Anolis sagrei: one gene and its partner. The protein of the gene in region 1 purifies or fractionates together with the protein of each later gene. This does not show direct contact. Links are inferred from orthologs where the notes say so. Each region holds a gene or a part of one and is shown in the gene's direction. Other genes may lie near its edges.

What was found.
Region 2: the proteins of PTPN6 (region 1) and RPL35A purify together in Homo sapiens (affinity purification with mass spectrometry; 3 studies listed by BioGRID and IntAct, with this or other methods). This does not show direct contact. The link is inferred for Anolis sagrei from reciprocal best matches to the Homo sapiens genes PTPN6 and RPL35A.

The regions. Positions count from the first base shown.
Region 1 is NC_090022.1:198,221,057-198,231,493, forward strand, and holds the start of PTPN6 (tyrosine-protein phosphatase non-receptor type 6), read left to right. Parts: upstream 1-6,504; 5' UTR 6,505-6,669; intron 6,670-8,793; 5' UTR 8,794-8,860; coding exon 8,861-8,874; intron 8,875-10,437. Other genes in the region: C2H12orf57 (protein C10), read left to right, coding at 249-397. UniProt on the Homo sapiens protein: Tyrosine phosphatase enzyme that plays important roles in controlling immune signaling pathways and fundamental physiological processes such as hematopoiesis.
Region 2 is NC_090023.1:267,626,128-267,636,118, reverse strand, and holds the start of RPL35A (large ribosomal subunit protein eL33), read left to right. Parts: upstream 1-5,380; 5' UTR 5,381-5,469; intron 5,470-9,790; 5' UTR 9,791-9,821; coding exon 9,822-9,832; intron 9,833-9,991. Other genes in the region: IQCG (dynein regulatory complex protein 9), read right to left, coding at 5,119-5,153.

The DNA.
Region 1 (10,437 bases):
CATCTGTCAGAAGTGCTTTGATTGTGCTTTCCCTGCATGGCAGAATGAGGTTGTACTGGATGACCCTTGGGGGGGTCTCTTTCAACTCTAGGATTCTCTGATGGCCAATGGAAGATGCCCCTCCTTCAAGTAAATTGAAGAAGACTTTCCTTCTTTGTAGATCATGCGATCTGAGAATTGGAAGAAAAACAGCAAGGTCATGGTGAAGTAAGTTGTTTTCATGCTATTTACCTTTCTTTCTTTTCTAGGAGTCCTAAAGTTTGCCCGCTTGATAAAATCTTATGAGACCCAGGACCCTGAGATTGCAAGCATGTCTGGAAAGCTAAAATCTATGTTCCTGCCTCCGATGACACTGCCTCCGCATGGGGCCGGGACAGGCGGGGTTGCAGCATCGTGAAGCTGCCAGCCTCTTCTGTGTTTTCCTGTTATTATCCTTGCATCAGTGTTAGTTAACTGGATTTTGAGACAACTGGATTTCCTTGAAGTGGCATCATATTTGTCACATTTATGTACAGTCTTCCTTCAGTGTTGTGAATGTATGCTTCCTTGCATAATTCTTGTGATAAAAACTTTGTAAATACCTACCAACATTTGTATAACAGTGAACCTCTTTGAGCTAGACTTTTTCAACCTCATGGTGATAAACCACAACCAATGACATAAAATACAACCGCTCTAAGGTTACCGCATCACACACTCTCTGTTTGAGTTCCATTCATGGTGGGGTTTGTGGTTGCAGAGATATATAAATCTGACATTCAGTCTATCTTCTTGAAATATCCTGTATTGTTGCAAACAAGATAGTAAGTTGTGGGATAGACAATACTACTGTTGGGTGGATTGGGAATTGGGTGACTGGCCAAAGCCAAAGGGAGATGACCAATGGCTCCTCTTCATCCTGAAGAGATGTGGGCAGTGTCAGACATGCGATCCAATACAACAGCCAGCAGAGTGGTTTTGTTTGCTGTGGATTCATCTTGTTGTGTTTCAAATAATAGTAATAGCTATTATATCCCGCCACCATCTTCCCCAAAGGGACTCGAGGCGGCTTACATGGGGACTAAGCCCAGCATCAACAAGAATTCACAAAGTAATTAAAAAAATTAACAATGAACAATATAATTAAAACAGTCAATCCCCCCCCCCCCCAAATAATGACATTCATCAGTGACCTGGATGATGGAATAGAAAACATGCTTATAAAATTTCAGATGACACCAAATTACAGGGCAAGATTATAATTTTAAATGACTTTAACAGAACATTGAGATGGACTAAAACAAACCAAATCAATTTCAACAGGGAGAAATGCAAGATACACTTAGGTAGAAAAATGAAATGCGCATATATAAATGCGGGCTGAGAACAGCGGTATATAAGCAAAGTAAATAAATATTTATCTATCTCATGGGTTACACCTGGCCTGAAAACAGTACATGTGAAGGGAATTTTGGAGTTTCGGTAGACCTCAAGCTAAATATGAGACAACACGGTGATTCAGCTGCTAAAAAAAGTCAATGCAATTAAAAACTGCATCAATAGGAGTATAGTGTCTAGATCAGGCATGGGCAAATTTCAACCCTCCAGGTGTTTGGACTTCAATTTCCACAATTCCTAACAGCCGGTTTGTGGAGAGATTTACATTGAAAAGCCCAAAACACCTAGAGGGCCAAAGTTTGCCAATGCCTGATCTAGACTGAAGGATGCATGAGTGCCACTCTATTCTGCTTTGGTCAGATTTGACTTGGGATACTGTGTTCAATTCAAGAAAGGTATTGATAAGCTAAAATGTGTCCAGAGCAGGGCAACCAAAATGATCAAGGACCTGAAAGCCATGTCATACGAAGAGTAGCTTAGGGACAGTGTATGTTTAGACTGAGGAAGAGATGACATGATAGCCATGCGAGAGAAAAAAAATCAAGGGATAGTATACTGAAGATGGACCAACCAAGTTTTCTGCTGCTCCAAAGACTTGGATTTGGAGCAATGGATTCAAACTTCAGGAAAAGCGATCCCACGTAAAAATTAGGAAGAACATCCCGACAGTAAGAGCTGTTTGACAGTGGAATATATTTCCTTGGAGTGTGCTGGAGTTCCTTCTCTGGAGGTTTTAAAGTACAGGCTGAATGACCATCTACTGGGAGTCCTTTGATTGTGTATTCTGGCATGGCAGAAGGGGTTGGACAAGATATCCCCCGTGTTCTAACTCTCTTGTTTCCATAATACTATTTCGAGGCTGGATAGTCAGTGTGTTAAGGCCCAGATTCGCTTATGAAAATATAAAAATAATGAAAACACATACCAAGAAACTGGATACTTGGGAAGTTTTGTACACAAAAGCCAAGGCACCCTGATAATTATAGAAAGCTGAAAATTAGGCATCTGTCCATCTTACTTGAAAGGGAGAATCCAAAAGGTGCGTCAAAATAGTTACAATGCTATCGTTCTGTTATAAATCTGATTACCAGACAAAAGTGGAAGCAGCAAAAAATATTTGCCAACGTCTCCTTGGAAACAACACACTAATTATACTTGAGAAATAATTTTACCTTAAAGTATAGGCAACACCAAAGAGCAAGCAAAACAATACAAACAAAACATTGTTCCTCGTAGACCTGAATAATCTCTGATGGAAATTGATATCAGATATGATGATGATGATGACGACGACAGATGCCCTTGGCAATCAGAAAAGTTGTCGAACCCACATTGGCAGTCTTAGTATTGGTTCATGGTTTTGTTTTGTTTTTCTGTGTCAGGAGTGACTTGAGAAATTGCAAGTTGCTTCTGTTTGAGAGAACTGGTTGTCTGCAAGGACATTGCCAAGGAGACGCCAGGGTGTTTTACCATCCTGTGGGAGGCTTCTCTCATGTCCCTGCATGAGAAGCTGGAGCTGACAAATGGGAGCTCACCCCGCTCCCATGGGAGCTCCGCTCCCTGCTCCCATCGCCAACCTTTCAGTCAGCAGTCCTGCTGGCAAAAAGGTTTAACCCATTGCACCACAGGTGCTCCATTGGTTCATGGGGGAAGATATGCTTTGGTATTTCAATCACAATCTTTTCATTGCTTTAGAAACCTGAATCTCAGGCTCATAGATCTCTGTCCACTAAATATGTGAAAACACAGTATGACATGACAGTAATAGAGGCAAGTCTTACCTTGCAGAACAAGCTGAGCTGCATCTGAGAGCAAATGCTGGGTCACAAACGTGTCATTGCTACTTCGCATACTTGAATGAGTGATCAAGGGAAAACTTTTTTTCAACTTCTAGGAACACTTATCTAGGATGACAATCTGTATGCAATTAGATGGACATTGTTCCCGGATAAGCTTATTTTCAGTTATCATATAAAGTTTGACCAACAGTGACTATGGGTAAAAATAAACATCCGCCTAATGGCCTTTTCCCCAACAGCTAAGTGTTGGCTTTTGCAGAGTCTCAAAAATGAATTGGTGCATCATTGCTAAAAGATGGACTTCATTCGAAAGAGCAATAAAGGTTCTTGACACTGTAGATTGAACAGTCAAATGTTCTATAATAATATTTTTCAGCTTCTGTTAAGATATCCAGTAATGGAGGTTGGATCTTTCCCCAGGAATAGTGTCTCTCCTTTTGGTCTCCAGTTTCTGTGAAGCCGAGCTCTACTTGTGACAGATAGCAGGACTGGCAGTAAAATGTCTTATGGTCATTAATAAGCAGTAAAATGCAAAGTCTGCAAGTATGCAAATCAGGAACACATGGATGCCCCTTTTCTTGTTATTTATCTATTAATGATACGTGCTGAAACAACATGCTTTGTTATAAATTAATTACTGAGCAGGTACTATTTTTTTCCTAAATCATGTCTAATGCTCATGGCCCATAGTTAAACCAATATCTATGTTGATTAACCTGGCCTTCTTCCAATATGGGACACAAAGTGGCTTACAAACGACTGGCGACGTAGGAATTCAGCATTTACAGATTTATACATATACCTCCAAATATATTTATACATTTATACATATACCACCATATAATCCAGATTATCAATGCAGATAATTGACATGAACTCGATTATATGAGTCTACACTGCCATATAATCCAGTTTAAGGGAGATAATCTGGATTTTATATGGCCATGCAGAAGGGGCCTTAATATAGTTTCCATTCATGGGAGGGGGGGGGGGACCCAATTCTGCTCCTTATACTTCATTTTGAATCTTCCCAGTTTGTATAAACAAAGGTTTTCTCCTGACATTAAGTCCAGTCGTGTCCGACTCTGGGGGATTGGTGTTAATCTCAATTTCTAAGCCGAAGAGCTGGCATTGTCCATAGAACCTCCAAAGTCATGTGGTCCGCATGACTGGATGGAGCACTGTTACCTTCCTGCAGAAGCGGTACCTATTGATCTACTTACATTTGCATGTTTTCAAACTGCTAGGTTGGCAGAAGCAGGGGCTAACAATGGGAGCTCACACCGCTCCCTGGATTCGAAACTGCGACCTTTCGGTTAGCAAATTCAGCAGCTCAGTGCTTTAACCCACTGCGCCACCATGGGCTCCTCTGTTACCAAGTTATAATTGGTGGAGAGACTTACATTGAGAAAATGGTGTGGGGACTGAGTGGTTTCTACTGGGGCTATAACCACCCTTCAGACTGCAGCCATGGGAACCTTTTGAGTAGATGTAAAAAAAAGAGGCCCGCTTTGGGTCAGACCAAAGTCCTGTCCAGTCCAGTGCACTGGTTGAAGAGATGCTTCTGAGGAGTACATGTCAGCAACATGTTCTGAGGAGAACATGTATGGACATATTCAAGAAGCATTCTCTCCTGCCGTTTCGCCTACATCTATGGCAGGCATCCTCAGAGGCTGTGGACAACTTCAACATCAAGGAGGAAACCATAAAAATGAACAAAATCTGGCTACCAGTATTTAAAAAAACTAAAATCAAGACTGTAAATAAAGAGCAACACACAAAACACATGAAACAATCAAAGCCAGCTAACATCTACAAACAAAGGATTCCCCCAAGCAGGAAGCAGCCAGTCTTTGAAGCTGCACTGCCATTCAATGCCAATCAAGGTGGCCAATAGCAATAAGACTTTTTTTCTCCCACCCTGGACATTCCACAGATATATAAACCTCACTTGCTTTGTTTCCAACAGACCTCTCACCCTCTGAGGATGCCTGCCATAGATGTGGCAGAAATGTCAGGACAGAATTTATTTTATTTTTATTTAAAACATTTATATCCCCCCCCCCCTTCTCACCCTGCAGGGGACACAGGGCGGAGCACTACATATTTACGGCAAACATTCAATGCCGGGACATATAACCATAAATATATACAAACATTAAAATCACTTATATCCACATTGAAAGTTGCTTAAAAACCATCTCAGGACACCATTTTGCCTCATTGCACGGCCCTAAAGGCTTGGTCCCACAGCCAGGTCTTCACCATCCTTCTGAAGGACAGGAGGGAAGGGGCTGATCTAATATTGCCAGGAAGGGAGTTCCATAACTGGAGGGCAATCACTGAGAAGGCCCTGTCTCTCGTTCCCATCAAACGCACATGTGATGGTAGTGGGACCGAGAGCAGGGCCTCCCCTGATGATCTTGGTTTCCGAGGTGGTTCGTAAAGGGACAGGTAAACTGGGCCGGGGCCGTTTCCTCTTTATCATTCCTAAAGTGTGTTTAGGAATGATAAAGATTCAAAGTGGTGAGTGTATAAATAATATCATTGACTCATGCAAGCAACAAAAGTATAGCTCTCTTACAATAGAACTGGAATCTCATGGGTGTATTTACCTTTTTAGAGAAAATATTAATTTGGATCAATAATCAATGCCATATTTATACAGAGCATGAAGAGTTTAGGACAGGCATAGGCTGTTAGGAATTGTGGGAGTTGAAGTCCAAAACACCTGGAGGGCTGACATTTGCCCATGCCTGGTTTAGGCCTTAAAATTGTTCACATGTGAAGTGCAGGGTCTCCAGCTGGAGGTCAGCTGTGACCAACAGTGCTGTAGAATTTGAAGAGGCACGAAAGAGAAACGTACCAAGAGGATGGCGCATCAAGCCAACCCCAACCGAGATCGCTTTCCACCTGGAAACCAATGCCTTCACTGCGGGAGAAGATGCAGATCAAGAATAGGGCTCTATAGCCACCTCCGGACCCATCAGTACACTGATCTACGGACCCACCCTGGAGGATTATCCTACTCTGACAACGAGGGATCGCCTAAGTAAGTAAGTAAGCTGGGTCCTTATGATGGCAGTCAAGGATCTGTGTCTCTGAAGAAGTGGCAGCTTTAGTCACCATTGGGCTGCTAAACTGGGTGCTGCAGAGGGTCCGCAGGGCCAGTTAAATGCACAGCAATTGTGTGTTTTGTTCTGATGGGTGCATTTCAGTTCCAAACTGAGCACAGATCCACCTAGAGAGAGCCCTGCCGAAGGTGAACGGGGCGGGGAGAACAGGTTGTCCCTCCCCTGGTTACCTGTTTCTCCCTCAGGTTGCGCTTTTCCCTTCCTGATACCATTCCTGTGTGTTCATTAACTAACTAGTGCTCAGGGAGACATTTGCCAGGGAAAATAATGGGGCCTTGTTTACAAAAACTAAACGTTTGAGCCGGATTTCCATCTCCTTCTCCCTGGGTCACTAAGGAAGAACCTTCACGCCTGAACAGGTAAATTTTTAGCTATGAGCCTTTCCAGTTTGAATGCAACAGGCATGCACCCGATGCAATGTTTTATTGCATTAGGCCTCTTGCTTTTATTGATATTAATAACTAACACAATAATTAATATTATATTCCTGTTTTTCTCCAGCAACTATTGTCAGTGTAAAAACATAGTTGCCAACTTTTAAATTTTGTATATCTGGGAGCAATGCAGCACTTGACAAAGAAAGATATCCTCAGGCTCGGTTTGTATTTCCACATTCCTGGAAATAAGTGTCATTGGGGCCAATGGACTTAACCCTTGAGTCAACTTTTACAAGATCGCTCCCCCAATAGGATGAGATCCCTCACAGGAGGTATATATTTACACCAAAGATACTTTAGGCAACAAAGAAACTGTAAAAAAGAAATTCAAAGTTACCGGCACATTTGTTAGTACCTAAGTTGATGTTCTGAATGAAATCTTGGATAGGAAATCAACAAATCATTAATTGAAAATCTGACATGGGATTATAATCCTATTGGACGAAACCCTATTGATTGGAGCCCCCCGTGGTGCAGTGGATTAAACTGCTGAGCTGCTGAACTTGCTGACTGAGAGGTCGGCAGTTCAGATCCAGGGAGTGGGCTGAGCTCCTGCTGTTAGCCCCAGCTTCTGACAACCTAGCAGTTCAAACACATGCAAATGTGAGTAGATAAATAGGTACCACTCCTGCGGGAAGATATATATCAAGGCAGAAAATCCCACAATATCTGCTTTGAACTGGATTATCTGAGTCCACAGTGCATTATATTCCAGTTCAAAGCAGAAAGTGGGAGATTTTATTCAGCTGTATGGAAGGGGATGTAATAGTCTTTGGATGTGGAAAGATACAGCAACGTCTAGAGGTTTTGTAATGGTGGGAAATATTATAATGTATTGAAACATAAATTGTTTCGAAAGGAAATACAAAGACAGCGTTATGGTCATTATGGTAATTGTTAATATGATCAAGAACAGATCGATAGGCGCCCCCGGTGGTGCAACGGGTTAAACCCTTGTGCCGGCAGGACTGAAGATCGACAGGTTGGAGGTTCGAATATGGGGAGAACATGGATGAGCTCCCTCTGTCAGCTCCAGCTCTCTATATGGGGACATGAGTGAAGGCTCCCACTAGGATGGTAAAACATCAAAACATCTGGGCATCCCCTGGCCAACATCCTTGCAGACGGCCAATTCTCCCACACCAGAAGTGACTTGCAGTCTCTCAAATCTACACACAAACATATACACAATTCAATATGTTGTTATATTCTTGGGGCATATGTGCAATACTTATTTACTTATTTCCATTTGTTGTTCTAGATAATAGAATAATCCCAGAAACACAGAAAGCAAAATGACAATTGTATATATAGTTATGGCCCCTTCTACACTACCATATAATTTAGATAATCAAAATTGAACTAGATTATATGGGTCTACAGCAGGCACAGGCAAACTCTGGCCCTCTGGGTGTTTTGGACTTTGACTCCCACAATTCCTAACAGCCAGTAGGCTGTTAGGAATTGTGGGAGTCGAAGTCCAAAACACCCAGAGGGCCAAAGTTTGCCAGTGCCTGGTCTATATTGTCATATAATCCAGTTCAAAGCAGATAATCTGGATTTTGTAAGGCAATGCAGAAGGGGCCTTAAAGATAATGACATATTATATATATATATATACACACACACACGCACGCACGCACACACACACACACCCAACGTAAACGGGCTGGGAGAATGTTGGATATTGGATAATAAGGAGGGATTAAGGAAAAGCCTATTAAAAGTCAAATTACATTATGATTTTACAAATTAAGCACCAAAACATCATGTTTTACAACAAAGCAATAGAAAAAGCAATTCAATACACAGTAACGTTATGTAGTAATTACTGTATTTATGAATTTAGCACCATAACATTACAATGTATTGAAACAGCTGTGGATTCGGGCTGGAAGCAGACTGCGTTGGATAATACACAATGTTGGATAAGTGAAGGGTGGATAAGCAAGACTCTACTGTGTGTGTGTTTGGTGTATGCAGGTACTGCATGTTTTTTTCTTCAGTTTTTGATCATCCTCCTGATTTGGTTTTTTTTCTCCCCAGGACTGCATGCTGTGGAATCCCACCTTTTCAGCTTTCCTTAGTGGGGTCCCCAGTGTCTGGGATCCTGATGCCATCCTGCAGGTACGTTTCTCCCAAGCTGGATTTTTATTTTGCCTAGGAACCTAATTCATAGCAGAAGAATATCTTTGGGAAGGGAATCAGAAACTGTAAGGAAAATTAAAATAACGATTTTGCTAGCAGTGTCTATAATGAAGTTTGAAGCAGTTGTGGGGAACCACGTGTTTCTCCTTATGAACCTTCCAGGACTTTAAGATCATCTGGGGAGGCCCTGCTCTCAGCCCCAACTTCATCACAAGTATGGCTGGTGGGGACGAAAGACAGGGCCTTCTCAGTGGTGGCCCCTCAGCTATGGAGCACCCTCCCTAAGGATATCTGATCGGCCCCCTTCCTTTTAACATTTCAGAAGAAAGTCAAGACTTGGCGTTTTGAGCAGGCATTTGCAAATACAGTGTAATAGACATAGGGAAATGGAATGGTTGGACAATGTGATTGGACAATGTTTTTAACGGGCGACCCTAATGTTTGTGTTTTTATTAATTTTATTATGGTTTTATTATCCAATTGTTTTTATTGGATTGAAATTGTATTTTATGGTCTTGGTACCAACTGTAAACCTCCCCGAGTTGCCTGTGGGCTGAGAGGGATGGTATATAAATATAGTAAATAAATAAATAAATAAACAAGAGTAATCCCAAAATGTTTAGATTCCAATCTTTCATCAGCTACAACCAACATGGCCATTGAATAGGGATGATGGGTATTATAATTCACTTGTATCTCAAGATGACACTCCCCACCCCACCCCACATTTTGCAGGTGATCTCTAGGCTCCTTTTACGCTGCCATATAATCCAAATTATTAAAGCAGATAATCCACATTATCTGCTTTGAACTGGATTATATGAGTCTACACTGTCATATAATCCAGTTCAAGGCAGATAATCTGGATTTTATATGGCAGTGTTGAAAAAGCCTTAATGTGGTGACTTCTGTGACGGAATTAAAGGGCATATTTGTACTGCCTTGCTAAATACCCATTTCATCATGCCTGTCTTCCCATAAGTTTATTATGTCAGTAAACATATCTTCCTCAGTTGGCAGTGAGTGTGTCTGTCATGCTTTCTGTATTTATTTGGCAGTTGATGTTTCAAAGTTAAACAAAAAAATGTGGGTGGAAGGCTTCTGGCTGTTCCTTAAATGATTTGGGGCTGCTGCAGTCTTCCTTCCTTCACGGCTCAGGGCTTTTGTCTCTGGACTGATGCGAAAGGTATTTTATGGCTGATGCAAAACATCAGAGCTATGGCTAGTCTGATGCAAGATCACAGGAACTTGGCTTGCAAAATCTCTCCCAGATCCACATTTTTACACATTTCATTCTGCTTGAAATGTTGTACCCTTTGAGATTGAATGTATCACTTTCTGGTGAGAGAAGTGTCACCAGTGGTGTCTTCATTTCCTTTCTTTCTCTTTTGAATGGAAGAGGAGACCAACATTTAATGTCCATTTAAATCCTGTTTTCACCTGGGCCATAAGAGAGGATAATGATTGGACATTGTATTGTGGCAACCACAGTGATAAGCAAATATTATGCATGCAGAAATGCCCTCGCTTAAGCTCTGACAT
Region 2 (9,991 bases), on another chromosome or scaffold:
GCAACAAAGTGGGCTTTCTAATATAAAATGACAAAATCAAGATTTTCTTTTTGGATTTTTTTTAGGAGGGAAATATTTTGAATCCATGGAGGGCTGAATTTATGGAGATAGAAGATTTAATGTAAATCATCAAACATGTCACTGTATTCCCACTTCTATGTATGGCTGTAAAAGCTGGGCAGGGAAGAACACTGATAGGAACCAAAGAAACCCATTTAAGATGTGGTTCTGGAGGAGAATTCTGAAGAGTCCACTGGTCTTTGCCTTTTGCTCTGAGCTTCTGAAAGAAGATTCCCAGATGCATCCTGCAGTGCCTCCTTCTGGTGAATTCAGTGTCTGACAATTGAAAGAAAACAGCCTGTTTGATTTGCATCCCAGAAATCCTAGGTATGTCTCTTGGAAGGGTTAGTTCATTCACAGTAGAGCTGGAAAGGACTCACTGAGATCATCTGGTGCATAATAATAATAAAATAATTATAATAATAAAATGTTATTTATATATCACCCTATCTCCCCAAAGGGCATTCACACCTCAAGGGCCTCTGAGGGTGAATCTGCACTGCAGAATGGGTGCAGTTTGACACCACTTGAACTGCCATGGCTGAATGCTGGAAGTCCTGGGCACTGTAGTTTTGCAAGGTCTTTAATATTACCCGGTACCTCACCACACTATGGATGTTACAATGTGTGTTTCCTAAATGAGATTCTCTTTGTTTTGGCCCAGATCTACCTGAAGTTCTCTAAAATCCCGATTCTCCCCACCAAGACATATAATTTTTATTATTCCAAAAGAGAACTCATTCCTCTTCACATGGGGAAAGCCTAAAAGGCCATTCACTTGATCTAAACAAGCTTCCAAATAACATGGCATCCATGAAAGACAAAAATAAAAGAACAAATTGATTTGAGTAATCTGCAATGAATTCAGGATAACTTAAGTATCTCACTTCATGGCATGACTTTGGTTAGAACACGCATAGGCAAACTTCAGCCCTCCGGGTGTTTTGGAGTTCAACTCTCATAACTCCAGGAATTGTGGGAGTTGAAGTCCAAAACACCTGGAGGGCCGAAGTTTGCCCATGCCTGGGTTAGAAGATGCAAGAATAATATCCTGTCACCTGATGTTGATAATCTTTTTTGAAAAAAAGTCATACAAAAATATTGACTTACCTATGAAAAATTTCTTACTACATTCATATGCAAAAGAAGATTACATTTTTATATATTTTATATAGGTTGTCATGTTAAAAGATCACTGAGAGATATTTGGGATGAAAGTGGCCTCACTTCATGCTCTCCTCACTCCTTCCTCTCCATGACTGGGCTTTCTTTCTTTCTCTCCATTGCTGCCAGCCAACCAATGTGTACATTCTAGTTTTAATTTTAGAAATATGTATGTCACCATATAGATTTATGTACTGTCTCTGAGGCTCCCAGAACCAGAAGACATGCAAAATGTTCATTGTTAATAACTCATTCTCAAATAGCCTCACCAGGTATTGTCAAAGGCTTTCATGGCTGGAATAACTGGGTTGTTGTAGGTTTTTCCGGGCTATATGGCCATGGTCTAGAGGCATTTTCTCCTGACGTTTTGCCTGCATCTATGGCAAGCATCCTCAGAGGTAGTGAGGTCTGTTGGAAGTAGGAAAATGGGTTTATATATCTGTGGAATGACCAGGGGGGGACAAAGGACTTTTGTTGGCCACCCTGTCCCACCCTGGTCAGTCCACAGATATATAAACCCATTTTCCTACTTCCAACAGACCTCACTACCTCTGAGGATGCTTGTCATAGATGCAGGCGAAACGACAGGAGAAAATGCCTCTAGAACATGGCCATATAGCCCGGAAAAACCTACAACAACCCAGCCTCACCAGGGCTGTATATAGCCAGCCATTCTGTCCACAAGCATAGAATGGACTGTAAAGTGTTTATGGTTCCTTTGTTTATCATGGGCTTCCAATTTTAGGTTTAAACTAGTGTTTACTATGCAGCTGACCTTACTATACTATAGGAAATGAAGCTATGCTTTATTACCTATAGGCTTTAGTTGGTCTGTGTTCTTTGGTACATATATAATATTCTAGCGTATAATAATAGTAATTTTTTCTTATTTGCCTCTCCTCATGGCTCGAGGTGGGTTACAACATTGTGCGTATTCAGAAGAAGACCTACAAGCCACTCTATACACCTTCACAGAAGCATATGAGAAGCTCAGCCTGTCATTGAACATCAAGAAAACCAAAGTGCTCTTCCAGCAGTCAGCAGCCAACCCCTCTCCAATGCCAGAAATACAGCTTAATAGTGTAACATTAGAAAATGTTGACCATTTCCGCTACTTTGGCAGTCACCTCTCCACAAAAGTCAGCATTGACACTGAAATACAATACTGCCTGAGCTCTGCGAGTGCAGCTTTTTTCCAAATGAAGCAGAGAGTGTTTGAGGACCGGGACATCCATAGGGAGACCAAGGTGCTTGTTTATAAAGCTATTGTCCTCCCAACCCTGCTATATGCCTGCGAAACGTGGACTGTCTACAGACGTCACATGCAACTCCTGGAACGATTCCATCAGCGCTGCCTTCAGAAAATCCTGCAAATCTCTTGGGAAGACAAGCGGACAAACGTCAGTGTTCTGGAAGAAGCAAAGACCACCAGCATTGAAGCGATGTTCCTCTGCCATCAACTCCGCTGGACCGGTCACGTTGTAGGTTCTTACCTACAAAGCCCTAAACGGTTTGAGACCCGCCTACCTGCATGACCGCATTTCTGTGTACGAACCCACATTATCTCTTCGATCATCTAGAGAAGCCCTACTCGCGCTCCCACCTCCTTCGCAGGCACGATTGGCAGGGACGAGGGAGAAGGCCTTCTCTATGGTGGCCCCCCGACTCTAGAACTCTCTACCTAAAGATATCAGACAAGCCCCCACATTGGCAGTCTTTAGGAGGGGCCCCAAAATGTGGTTGTTCCAGTGTGCCTTCCCAGAATAAGGAAAACTCTCAGCAATATGCCCTCAAAATGCACTTTACCACTGATTTAGGACTGACTGCGTTCCCTCATCTCTCTTTGAAAACCCTATACCAGTTATATCCTACCTTATTCATGCTCAGCGTTATTTTTTTAAATTTTAAACTATTACATTTGGCCCGGCCATAGGTTTTTAAATTCTTGTGTGTTACTGTTTATTGTTTATGTGATTTATATTAATTGTATTGTATTGATTGTTTTTGTTATTGCTTTTGTTTATTGATGTACTGTTGGGCTTGGCCTCATGTAAGCTGCACCGAGTCCCTTGGGGAGATGGTAGCGGGGTATAAATAAAGTATTATTATTATTATTATTATTATTATGCCCGACCACTGTCTGCCAAAGCAGTTGCTCTACTCCGGACTCAAGAACGGAAAATTGAATGTTGGAAGACAGGAAAAGAGATTTAAAGATTGGCTCAAAGCCAACCTCAAAAACTCTGGCATAGACACTGAGAACTGGGAAGTCCTGGCCCTTGAGCGCTCCAGCTGAAGGTCAGCTGTGACCAGCAGTACTGCAGAATTTGGTTTTCTTTTTTTTATCATAGTTATTACATTTGTTATGCGTTTGGTTATAGCAGTTACATATTATTCAACACACTCTTTAACATATAATCTTATTATTCTACTTAAGCATTTTCCCCCTTTGTTTCCCACCACTGTGCTCCCCTCCCCCCATATCAAGCCACAACTTTTACATATCGTCTGTCCAAAATTTCAATTCTTCTTGTGACGGTAACTTTCCTTCTTTGTTTTTTAAACCATTTACTACAAATTTTCCCCATACAACATCAAAATCACTTTGTTTCCATATACCTTTTTGAACTTTTAATATACATGTCAATTTATCATTTATTGCTATTTTCCATGCTTCCTTATACCACTCCTCTATTTGTATATTCATTTCTTTTTTCCAATTCCTTGCTATGAGCAGTCTTGCTATAGTTAATAAGTTTGTTATCGTTTCTTTATCCTCCTTTTTCCATTGTGTATTGTTATATAATAAAGCTATACTAGGGCTTTTCTCAATTTTAATGTTCATTATATCTTCTATTTCTCTAAATACTTTCCCCCAAAAATTATTTACATATTTACATTGCCACCACATATGTATATATATTCCTGGTTCTTGACATCCTCTCCAACAATTTTTTGAATTATTTTTATTTATATATGCTAATCTTACTGGTGTCAGATACCACTTCCATATTAACTTATAATAATTTTCTTTAACACGTATTGATAATTTTTTTAATGTCTTTGTCTCCATAATTGTTGCCACTCTGTTTCGTTTATTTTTATTTATTTTAAAATAAACAAATAAATAAAGTATTATTATTATTATTATGCCCGACCACCGTCTCCAAAGCAGTTACTCTACTCCGAACTCAAGAACGGAAAATTGAATGTTGGAAGACATGAAAAGAGATTGAAAAATGGACAAAGCTTTCTACAGGAGCTCTTGGTATTATGTCCTGTGCGAAAACCTTCTCTGTGTGGACTGTACCCAAACTGGCTCCTATTCCCTCCAAAAACCCAAAGGGGGCGGGACCAGGGAACCTAACTATAATTGACTGGTGGCTTGCCCTATGATTGCAGCCAAAAGAAGCCACCTATCTGCAGAGTCCCTGAAACTTAGGACTACAAACATTCAATGCAAAGCAAACAAAATTGGAGCTCCTGGTACAGCTGTACCTGCACAGGCATAGACACTGAGAACTGGGAAGTCCTGGCCCTTGAGCGCTCCAGCTGGAGGTCAGCTGTGACCAGCAGTGCTGCAGAATTTGAAGAGGCACAAATGGAAGGTGAAAGAGAGAAGACAATCCTACTTGGACAATGAGGGATTGCCTAAGTAAGTAAAGATAGATAGATAGATAGATGGATAATTTGTTCTTCCCTTTTCCTGAGGCCTAACTTTAGTGAAGGCCTTGAGGCCTCCTCTCTTGGGATAGTTTCCATCTTAATATTCACTGCATTCCCTCTTTTTGTGTTTGGAATTTCTGCTGCTTTCTCCCAAATGTTTCCTGAATGCTTTTCCTGTGTGAAAAACCCTCTCAACTCAATAGAACCGTTCTGAAGGGACTCACTCACCAAGAGGTATCACTTGCACAGCTTGACGTCGCCATGGTTACCACTCACTTCCTGTGGGGCCCTCACATTAGCAAAAGGCTGTCTATATAAAAGCCTGACATTTTTTAAAAATCGTTAAATTACAGAGGATGAAATAAAAGCTCGATATTGGAAATCAAACACCCAAATCGAAGTTTTAAATTCCACTTTTTAAAATACCCCCCAAAATGTTGTGATATTTCAGTCAGGCGAATAGCGTAACCACCTATCTCTAAACAAGGAAGGGGTCCTGGCGATTTTGTCCCCCTATCCCGGCTTGCACCGCGGCGCCGCTCTCTCTTTCTGCCGCCATCTTGGGCCGGTGCTGCTGAGGTGAGGAAGGGGGGCGCGCGTTTCGTGGGGAGGAATCCGTGGAAACCGCGGGGAAAGCGGCTCCCGAGTGGGGTCGGCGGGTGAAGCGAGGTCTGAGGAGTGGAAGGAGCCGGGGATGGCGGCGGAAGGCGGTGGGATGCCGTGGATGGAGGCCGGATGCTGCGGCCTGGCCTAGTTTCGTTTCTACGCCTTAGCTGGCTGATTCCATGGGACGAAGGGAAGGAAGGAAGGCCTGTATTGTCGAAGGCTTTCATGGCTGGAATCACTAGGTTCTTGTGGTTTTTTTCGGGCTATGTGGCCATGTCCTAGAGGCATTCTCTCCTGACGTTTCGCCTGCATCTATGGCAAGCATCCTCAGAGATAGTGTGGTCTGTTGGAAGTAGGAAAAGGGGTTTATATATCTGTGGAATGACCAGGGTGGGACAAAAGACACATCAACACTGACAAAGAAACAACAAGAAATACTGTTTATCCACAAGCATAAAGAAATTACATATATTAGAAACCAACACTTTCTCATTACTTTATTTTCCAGATCAACAGACTGGGCCACAGCAATGCGTGGCAGGGAACAGCTAGTAATATATAATATTGTGCTTTACTTATATATATATATATATATATATATATATATATATATCACATATGTGTGTGTGTGTATATATATATATATATATATATATATATATATATATATACACACACACACACACACTAGTCGTCACCTGCCAAGCGTTGCAGTGGCCCACATGAGGGTTCTGTATGGGAGGTTTGGCCCAATTCTATCAGTGGCGTTCAGAATGCTCTGTGATTGTAGGTGAACTATAAATCCCAGCAACTACAACTCCCAGATGTCAAGATTCTATTTCCCCCAAACTCCACCAGTGTTCACATTTGGGCATATTGAGTGTTCGTGTAGAGTTTGGTCCAGATCCATCATTGTTTGAGTCCACAGTGATCTCTGGATGTAGGTGAACTACAACTCCAAAACCAAAGGACACTGCCCACCAAACCCTTCCAGTATTTTCTGTTGGTCATGGGAGAAATGTGTGCCAAGTTTGGTTCAATTCCATCGTTGGTGGGGTTATGAATGCTCTTTGTTTGTAGGTGAACTATACATCCCAGCAACTACAACTCCCAAATGACAAACTCATTTTTTTTTAGTGATGGTCACTCCTTGGGTTAGTAGGTGTCTTGTGGCCAAATTTGGTTGCAATTCCCCCAGTGGTTTTTGAGTTCTGTTAATCCCACAAACGAACATTGCATTTTTATTTATATAGATTGCAGTATAGTGCTATGCTACAATATAGAAATATATAATACTAATAGTGTGTTATGCTAATTTAGTATATTGTATATACATGTAATATTGATAATAATATTATAATGTAATGCAATATAGTGCTAATCATAATACAATATAATAATATTGAAATAGTGATGCTACTATAATAAATATAATTACTTATTTACAATATATATCCATCTATATAAATAAAAATGTAATGTTCATTTGTGGGATTAACATCACTCAAAAACCACTGGGTAAATTGACACCAAATTGGACACAATACACGTATCAGGCCAAGAAGTAACCATCACTCATGAAAATACTGAAAAACACAGCAAAAAAGACATAAAAAGCAAAAAAACCAAACCAAAACATTAGAACACATGCGCAAAACCACATATATACACAAAAATAAAAATATATACACACACAAAACACAAATACAGAGACTGGACCACAGCAACGCGCGGCAGGGGACGGCTAGTATATATATATATAAACCTGTGGGATAAATGTCCAAGGTGGAAGAAAGAACCCTTGTTTGCTTAACACAAATGTGAATGTTGCAATTAGCAAGCTTGAATAGCATTGAGTAGCCACTAAGCTGTAAAGTCAATGGTAAGGTATCTGCATAGAGCAGTGGTTCCCAACCTTTGGGCTCCAGGTGTTTTGGACCAGCTGTTAGGAACTGTGGGAGCTAAAGTTCAAAATTCCTGGAGGCCCAAAGGCTAGGAACCACTGGCATAGAGGGAGCCTGCTCTTTGTTGCCTGGAGACATCCTCTGGGGGGTGTTAATTGGCTCTTGATTGTTTGCTATCTGGAGTTCTGTTTCTGAGTGGTGTTCCTTATTTACTATCCTAATTCTGGTGTTTTTTTTTAATACTGTTAACCACCTCTAAGCAGATAACTTCACAGATTGATACTGCAGGTGAAAGGCTACTCAATTCTTACTAATTGCAACATTCACAGACAAGTGTTCTTCCTCCCGCCATGGACATTCTGCAGATAGATAGACTTGCTTCATTGCCAACAGAACCTCTGAAGATGCCAGCCACAGAAGCAGGAGAGAAATCAACTGGAACATGGCCACACAGTCCAAAAAACTCACAGCAATCCATTGATTCTGGGCATGAAAGCCTTCAACAACACAATAGTACACTTTATTTATACTCTCTGCCTTGGCTCGAGGCAGGATACAACATAGAATGGGCGTAGGCAAACTTCGGCCCTCCCTCCATATATTTTGTAAACCGCCCTGAGTCTTTCCGGGGAGAGAGGGCAGTCTAGAAATAAGGAATTATTATTATTATTATTATTATTGGTCCTCAACTCCCACAATTCCTAAAAGCCTAATGGAGGTGAAGTCGAAAACACCTGGAGGACTGAAGTTTGCCCATTCCTGAATAAAATCAAGACAAACTAACATATTTATTTATTTATCGTGTCAGAGGCAGACCAAACAGTTGCATTGCATTTTTTAACAAACAAACAAAACTCAAAGTTTGCAAGCTTGGTAGTTGATTAAATGTCCTTTGAACCAGTATCTGACCACTTGGAGTGCCTCTGGTGTTGCCACAAGAAGGTCCTCCATTGTGCATGTGGCAGGGCTCAGGTTGCATTGCAGCAGGTGGACAGTGGTTTGCTCTTCACCACACTCGCATGTTGTGGATTCCACTTTGTAGCTCCATTTCTTAAGGTTGACTTTGCATCTTGTGGAGCGCAGTCTGTTCAGTGCCTTCCAAGTCACCCAGTCTTCTGTGTGCCCAGGAGGGACTCTCTCATTTGGTATCAGCCATTGGTTGAGGTTCTGGGTTTGAGCCTGCCACTTTTGGACTCTCGCTTGCTGAGGTGTTCCAGCAAGTGTCTCTGTAGATCTTAGAAAACTATTTCTTGATTTAAGTCGATGAAAAACTAACATAAAATACACAGATAAAAACACTATAATTAAGAACATACATGGGGTATAGAAATCAACATATAGTGACAATGCAATGCAAATTAAAAACTTGTGATTCAGGTTTGATTGGGTAGGCCTGCCTGAAGAGAAGAATCTTTAATTTTGTTTTTAAATTCTGCCATAATAGAAATGGAACCGAAGTCTAAACAAGAAATTCACTGCTGGCTGCATCTTCACTGTAGAATTAATGTGATTTGATGCCACTTTCACTTCCCTGGCTCAATGCTATGGAATCCTCAGAGTTGTCGTTTTACAAGGTCTGCCAAGGAAGACTGCTTCCTAACAAAACTACAACTCCCAGGATTCCATAACATTGAGCCAGTTAAAGGGATTTCAAACTGCATTAATTCTATATTATAAATGCACCCTTAAATAGTCCCAATTAATCCTTTATCATCCCGCTTTGTTTGCTGTTGCTAAAACATTCTAGTTCTTCTCTCCTCCTTTGTCCTCAACTTACTTCAGTTGCAAATTGCCACTGAATGGCAAAAAGAGAAGATACAAAAACATGTCCTTCATCATTTATTTTTTTATTTATTTATTTGCAACATTTATATGCTGCCCTTCTCACCCCGAAGGGGACTCAGAGTAGCTTACAAGATACATATACATACAATATATCATATTGGGGATGAGAGACAGGGCCATCTCAGTGGTGGCCCCTCCATTCTAACATTCCGCAAAATGGTTAAGACCTGGATCTTCAAGCAAGCTTTTTCTACTAGAGCATAACTAGACGTAAATGAATATATGGAATGACTGACGATGCAACTGGACAATGATTTTAGTAAGGAGATGCTGGGGATCTTGTTTTTACAGATATATTTGCTTCTTATATTACATTTTAAATGTTGAATTGTTTTTATATTTGTATTAATTGTATTTTGATATTTGTTATGGCATTGAATCACTTTCGACTGAACCGCTTTGTGTCGCGTCTGGCTGAGAAAGGCGGTATACAAATGTGGTAAATAAGTAAATTGAGCCATGACAGTAGAAGGAGTCTAGTTCTTTAAACTGATTCTGAGCACTGCACATGCCAATTTAACCTTCCTTGTGATTCCTTCCTTCAGGCCTGCTGGGGACAGGACTTCAAGCAATACCATGACTGGCAGGTAGGGATGTGTTTTATTTGGAAATCTTTTAAAAATAAGATACCTTTACACATTTTTGTGTTATTGTAGAGACTTTCAATGTGTCACCCATTTAAAGTAGCGGAATGTCTTATAAACTGTAAAAGGAATATTGAATGTTGTTATTATTTTGCATTATGA